Cricetulus griseus: one gene and its partner. Each later gene encodes a partner of the first gene's protein in a complex. Links are inferred from orthologs where the notes say so. Each region holds a gene or a part of one and is shown on either strand. Other genes may lie near its edges.

Region 1 (4,095 bases):
TTTGCCTGGCTGTGAATCCGTTAACTGTGCTTTTCTTGACTATGAGAGACAAGCTGCTCAAGCCTTAGACTGGAGCAAAGCCTGAACCTCAGCTGTCATAGGACACAGCTCTACCCTACAGGCAGTGAAAACTGTCCTGCTTCTCAGAGACTGATGTTTAAGCTACCAAATTGCTGAGAGGCCAGCTTCTTTACTCTGGGAAGGAGTGTCACAGTTGCTAACCACAGACATTTGCTAATAGTGTTTTCATAAGGTTGAGCTGAAGCAGGATTAAATTGAGAAGACCTCTTACATGGTTCTCGAATCCCGTGTGTGTGTGTGTGTGTGTGTGTGTGTGTGTGTGTGTACATGTGCATGTGTGTATTCCATGGCGAGTGTTGAGTGCATGTGCTCATGTTCCATGGTTCTTCCTTCCTCTGATGTGTCCTGAACATGGAACTCACTCAGATCATCAGGCTATGCAGCAAGTGCATTTGCCTCCTAAACCCTCTCACTGGTCCGCATCTCTTTATTTATCTCCCTACTTGTTATTTATTGAGGACCTACTTTGTGCTTCTTAGTATCAGACCCTAGCAATGTGCAGAGTGGACATAGTCCTTACCCTTGACAGTACTGGACAAATAGCTGTCTGGCGAGAGTTGGCTAGATGAGGAGTCCGGGGGAAGAAAAGGTGTAATGTGTCTAAGGAGCAGGGGTGGCAAGTGTTACTGGTTGCACAGAGGCAGCAGTCCATGGCATTGCTGCAGAAGCAGGCAGAACACTCAAGCCCAGAGGAGGATGTGGATGTGTACCCAAGAGTAGCCTGATGGGGTTTGCATTTTGAGAAGACTCTTCTGGACTTGAGTGTAACTCGGCAGCATGGTACTGGGCTGAGCTCCATCCCTAGCCTACAGAAGAAAAAAGGAAACTTGTTCTGGAAGATGGCTCAGTAATGAAAGGTGCTTGCCCAAGCCTGACAGCACATGGTGAAGAAGACAACTGACAAGGTGCTTTAAGTTGCCCTCTGACTTGCACACATACAACACACATACATACACACACACACACACACACACACACACACACACACACACACACAGAAAATTAATGTAACAAAAAAGAATGCCAACTTTTTCTTGCTTTAGACCGCCCCAATACAAATTGACTAGTTGTGTGACCTCAGCTAAAAATAAAGGCTCTGTCTCAAAGGGTTTTGAGGATTAAATGTGTTGATGATATTAACAAATGTTCAGTAAGAGTTCCCTACTGCATCCTACTGGTAGGGTAGATACTGTACTTGATCTTAGCCCAAAGACTGAGAAGCAGTTACATGCTGCACTGAGATGTAAAAGTAGAGGGTGGTTAAGAATGCTGGCTGCTCTTCCAGAGGATACAGGTTCAACTCCCAACACCTACATGGTAGCTCACAGCTGTCTATAACCATAGTCCTATGGGATCTGATTCCTTCTTCTGGCCCCTTTGGGCATCAGGCATGCATATAGACAGACAGACAGACAGACAGACAGACAGACAGACAGACAGACAGACAGACACACAGACAGACACACACACACACACACACACACCCCATAGAAATCTTTTTTTTTTTTTTTTTTTTTTGGATTTGAAAATATGGGGGTTGGGGAAATGGCACAGTGATTTATAGAGAACCTGAGTTCAGTTCCCAGCACCTATGTCAGGCAGCTCACAACCCTCTGTAACTCTGACTCGCATCACACACACAGCGCCAAGCCTTCTCTCCTTGGGGTTTTTCATCCCTTCCTGCTGCCAGAACACACACTCATACACACCTTTGTTTTTCTTAGACAGTGCCTCCCTGTTATCCAGGCTGGCCATAAACATGCAGCAATCCTTGTACCTCAGCCTCCTAAGTGCTGAGGTTAACGTGAGCTGGCTGTTGTGCTTCAGATCAGGTTCAGAGTTGCACACTCCAGCCTCTGTTTACTAGCTCTTCAACCACAATCATGACAAAAAGAGGGTAGTGGGTGTCTCACCAAGTCCTTCCCCTTTCCTCCATGGTCAAAAAGCAGAAACAGAGTGTGTTCCATAGCCACGTTTTATAAATGGACATGTGCTAATTAATGCTTCTCTGGCTTATTCATCTTTGAACATAAATGTGAGTGTCCATGCCTTTGTGTTGATAATGGGAAAGTTGCACTTCTCTACCAAGCTAATGACTGGCAACAATGGCCTCTCCCTTTCAGGCAAAGCTACTCTTTTCAGATGGAGAAAAAGTAATACCCAGATTGACCCATGAACTTCCAGGAATCAAGGTCAGAATCATTGTGCCCTAAGGCCTTCGGGTGGGGGGGAGACAGTCAGGTGGGATGCAGGTAAAATATGTGGACCCAGGAAATTTCACACACCATCACGGGTAGGGCCAGGTCCCAAAGGACTTTTGAGATCTGTGTCAGGTGGTGGCTAGAGGGTGGAGCCCAGAGGCCCTGCTTACTGTAGTCCCATAAAACTGCAGCTCCCAGGTACTAGCCTTGCACTGACTCCCTTCCCATTCGTTTCCTTCAGCGTGGCCGGCAAGCAGAAGAGGAGTCCCACCGAGGAAGCCCCATTCCTAAAAAGGTAAATAAGCATGTCCCCTGTTGGGGGCTTACAGCTGGGAAAGGGCCCTTCTGTTCCAAAAGAAGGTTGGGCTTGCATTACCTTTGGGCTTTTCCAGGCGTGGGGTGGCAAGGAGAGAAATGGTTACTTTCCGGGGCACTCCCAAGGTCATTTGTTCTCTCTGGATAATTCCACTACCTGATCTAGCCCCAGCACACTAGAGCAGGGGTGCTCCCCATGGTCAGGGCTCTGCTCAATGGACAACCATCTCCACTGACTTCCTGGCCCAGCACACAAGAATGCTACCCACAGGTCAGGGTTCTGACAGCTCTTCTTTGTGCAGAGGAAAGGTCGGCCTCCTGGACACGTCCTGTCAAATGACCGGGCAGCTGCTGGCATGGTGTGAGTAGGGGCCACCAGTGCTGTAAGAGCTGAAGGGAACCGAGGGAGGGAGTGGCCATGAGTGGGAAGAGGCCAGAAGTGAAAGCGGTAGACGCAGGTCCACTGCCCTAAGCTGCTGTGGGAGAGGCTAACCCAGTATAGGTCAGGAAGGGACTGTGAGGGGAGTTGTTTTATGCTGTCTTTTACAAACCCCACCACGGTTGTAGCTTGATTACACACCAGACCTGATTCATACTTGAATGTTTAGAGTTGGTCTAAGTACCAGCTTCCAGCAAGTCTCTAAAGAACAGGGCAATTAGCAGATTTAAAACAAACAAACAAACAAAAAAAAGAGTCAGAATTATATGCCCTAGTAGGGAGGGCATGGTAGTGGACTCCTGAGGTCCCTGTACTTAGGGGGTGAAGGCAGGATGATCCTCAGCCACATGGTGACTTAAAGGCCAGCCTGAGCTACAGGAGATACTCACAAAAAGTCATATAATTATTAAAATGCAAAACAGAGTGATCATTATCAAAGAGCACTTTTAAATTCTATTTATAGAACATTTTAGCTACATCACAAACTCAGTAGAAGATACAGAGCTATCTGAAACCCTCCCAGCCCCCTACATATGTACAGACTCCCTGTTAGTAACACCCAGAGTGTCACATTTGTTACAACTGATGAATTTGCCATGACTTAACACCATCATCCAGCCCATGGATGCATAGGTTCATGCCTGGTGTTGTGAGTCTGAGTTTATAGCACCCTTCCTGAAGCCTTTTTGCCCTGTCTTGGAGACAGGGTCTTACTCTGTAGCCCTTTTCTGACCTGGAACTCACTAAGCAGACCAGGCATTTTCATTCCTCATAAACACGAGGTGGGCAGGGCAGCTGCTGCCCTTATCTCCTTTTGACAGATGAGAAAGCTGCAACTTGGAGATTCCTGGACTTGCCCATCACTGAGTTCTAATGTGGTTTCTGGTCCAGGCTTTTTTTCCCTCTATATTTCTAATGAGTTGCCAGAAAACTGTGCCATCATCACCCCTAGTAAACTTCATTCCAGGTTCTGTCCCTCCCTCCATCCTTGGAGAATTCACCTGTCTTCTTTCCTTCCAAGCAGATGGAAACCAAAATCTTGTGAACCAATTCGCCGAG
Region 2 (3,280 bases), on another chromosome or scaffold:
CTGATTTGTTATGCTGAGCATTTAGCCAAGCAATAAAATTCCAAGAGAAATAGATGTTAAAAATGGTAAAAAACAAAACAAAACAAAACACTGACAATGAAATATAAAGCAACCCCAACCCTTAAACAAAGAGCTCATTACACATGCAGACTTCTCTAATCTCAGACAAGGTTTGGTTCCATTTTGTTGAGACAAGGTTTGCTCTGCAGCCAGGTCTCTAACCTGTGATCCTCCTGCCTCAGCCTCTAGAGGGCTGATTATAAACATTCACCACACAGCAGTTTAATTAACATGGTTTGAATTTGCAAAGCAAACATTAAAGAATGTGAGTTATTTTCCATGAATTCTTATTTCAACTCTGAGCAAGCGCTGTGCTTACCTTTGCTGGAATGTAGGGTGTCTTTGGAAAGAGAGAGGCACAGAAACTACCTGTTTTTCTTCATATGCCTTCAAAGAATAATAATAACAATGCAAAAGGGAAATTTAAAAGTAGTTAAGAATCAGTGGAAGTCTAATTTTTAAACCTGCTAACATACACTGTGAAGTATTTTAAAAAAAAACACTGTTAGCCTGAAGTAGAGCTTGCCTTTAGTCTGAACACTTGGGAGGCAGAGGCAGGTGGATCTCTGAGTTCCAGGACAGCCAGAGATACCTGTCTCAAAACCAACAGACGCCCCCCCCCACCCCACCACCACCACCACACACTTACTTACAAATCAAATTGATCTAGGGAAATTACATTTATCTGTTGTTTCTCCTTTACCTTTAATTACTTGGAATTTTCAAGAAAAATTTACAAAATAAGGATCTTTACCTGAAACCTTAATACCAATTCCTGAAAGCTTAAAACAAAAACTAAGTTTCACAAAATAAATACACTGAAGCAGCTATAATAGTAATAACCTTTATTTAAAATAGTTTTAATTTAGGAAGCTCATTTCATATGAGTTTCCAACTAATTATTAGAATCAAAACCAAACAAAAAAAGCCAAAGAAAATCCTCTGTAGAAAAAATACCCAAGAACATTTCTACATATGAAAAACAGTAAACATTCTTTACAGCCAGACATCTATGTGCTAGTGTGAATGCCATCTCTCCTAGTGAACACCACTGTCGACCTTGAGATCTGATTTGTTCTTGTCATTCTTCACTGAGTAGATAAAATATGTTAGGGTGTCTTTTTCATTCACTGGAATAGACCTAAAGTGGCAACCAACTATCTACAAAGAAAAAAACAAATTAAATGTTAGATGCAGCAGATTCTGTGAGCCAGGTAAAAGGCACAGTTTAAAAAAAAAAAAAAAAAGGCACAGTTTAGGCCATGTGTTATATGGCCACAAGAGATTGTCTTTTAAAAATTAAGCTGTTTTAACAAAATATGAACAGGCCCCAAAGCACATTTAAAAAAAACAAAATATTATCAACAAAGGACAGTCTGATTTCAAAGGACCCTTTAGTCTACTCAATTCATATGCTCTAATTCTAAGTATTTTACTTGCTTTGGTCCACTGGTTATAAGTATTTTTCCCTTTAAACTTAACAACTTATAAAGTACATATTCTTAAACATTAAATATCAATGACATAAAACAAAAGAGCCAACGTGCATGTCGACTGCATTCACAGGAAAAGATTAATGTAAACAAAACAACAAAAACCCTTGGTAACAAACTATGATATCATATACAATTTTGGTGCAATTGATATTCATTCTCCCTAAGTTTCAGCAAAATTTTCTGAGTAAGATTTAAGAAAATTAAAGGAGCTAGAAAGACGCTCAAGAAGACTGCTTCCCTGTCTTTTCACAGCACAAACCAAACATGCACACTGAGCTACCAACACGAATAAGAAACTGAGCTGCTAATGTGTGCACTCCGATTCCAGAAGATGGCCTGTTTTTCTAGAACAGAAAATAACTCTGTACTAATTCAACTGTTTTTAGAAGACCAGACTTTAAAGTTGAGATTTGAGTTATAAACTATATGATGTTATATCATACAACGTTTGCATCAGTTCTTGGCTCCTCTCTGTTACAAAACAGGGGCGACCATACTTCATTAATGTCTAGTATATTTCATCATAGTAGGGAACATCTTTATGTTTATGTACTGTGCCATGGTAAAAGGACTAGATCTTTAAATAAAATTTGAAGAAAAATTATATTTTTGTCTAGGCAAAAAATAGAGGAGAAAATTTGGCTAGTTAGCATATTGAATTTTAATAATGTAAAAGAACTTTCTACAAAGAATTGCAACTTGTATTTATCTTTTATTTAATATGCACATTAGAAATGTAGGCTAACTACTCAAGTCAAACCCAAGAATATGAGAAAACTCATGTAAACACACACACACACACACACACACACACACACACACACACAGAGAGAGAGAGAGAGATTTCTGTCCTGTCTATTTAGTGGAAAAGTTTATTTTACATATAAAGTCTAATTATTTAAATCTGTAAATACTTTAAAGTGCACAGATTTTGTGGCTCTATTACTTCTTGAAAACACACACACACACACACACACACACACACACACACACACACAGCTAATTTCCAAAGCACTCTGAAGGAACCAAAGTCCTATACAAAATAAACTTTAAGTAAAAGCTTGGATAAAATCTTTGCTCTCTCTCGATGTAAAGAAAGCATCTTCTACTTAAAAACAACAACTACTAACAAAGACAACCTGAAAGTAAAACTAGAAAGTTAGGAAGTACTGCTTCAGGGTTCATCTGTAGGCCTATCCCAGAGAAGCTTTGAAAACTAAATTCTGATAAATGCTTGTAAGCTTATTTATTTGTTATGCCTCAATTAGGTGTTCAATAAACAGACATTGAATAATTAGAAACCTAAAACAGATTTCTGAAGTGATTAAAAACTCACTAAATACTTACTCTGAGAAATCCCTATTAAAAAATGCTGTAAGTGGATTTTCTAGGTGACAGACAGTTGTTTCTAAACCACTATATGCACACCATGATAGACCCATTAACTCTGACTTTCTTAGACATTAGACATTTACCTATTTCATCATCATTTAATCACAACCCTTGTTGGTGTGAACAGGTTTGTTTATACCGTATAAAAATTATACATACCTCAACAAGTTGTGCTTTATTAAGGCCTGGTCTGGTTGGAAGCTTGAAGTGTCTTTTGTATCTTCTAAGTGTATTTACTTGTAATTGGTACAAATCAACCTAGAAAAAAAAAATTAAGATGTAACATAGTTCACTCTGCTGAAAAGATATCACTGATCTGTAAAGCAAAGGGC

Evidence for each region. The genes of interacting proteins can lie anywhere in the genome.
Region 2: Dnttip1 (region 1) and Sap30 share a complex: the UniProt entries of both Homo sapiens proteins name them as parts of the histone deacetylase complex. The link is inferred for Cricetulus griseus from reciprocal best matches to the Homo sapiens genes DNTTIP1 and SAP30.

Annotation. Positions count from the first base shown.
Region 1 is NC_048599.1:14,670,435-14,674,529, reverse strand, and holds part of Dnttip1 (deoxynucleotidyltransferase terminal-interacting protein 1), read left to right. Parts: intron 1-2,204; coding exon 2,205-2,273; intron 2,274-2,523; coding exon 2,524-2,577; intron 2,578-2,899; coding exon 2,900-2,958; intron 2,959-4,057; coding exon 4,058-4,095. UniProt on the Homo sapiens protein: Increases DNTT terminal deoxynucleotidyltransferase activity (in vitro). Also acts as a transcriptional regulator, binding to the consensus sequence 5'-GNTGCATG-3' following an AT-tract.
Region 2 is NW_023276806.1:235,754,234-235,757,513, forward strand, and holds the end of Sap30 (histone deacetylase complex subunit SAP30), read right to left. Parts: intron 3,207-3,280; coding exon 3,108-3,206; intron 1,222-3,107; coding exon 1,099-1,221; 3' UTR 889-1,098; downstream 1-888. UniProt on the Homo sapiens protein: Involved in the functional recruitment of the Sin3-histone deacetylase complex (HDAC) to a specific subset of N-CoR corepressor complexes. Capable of transcription repression by N-CoR.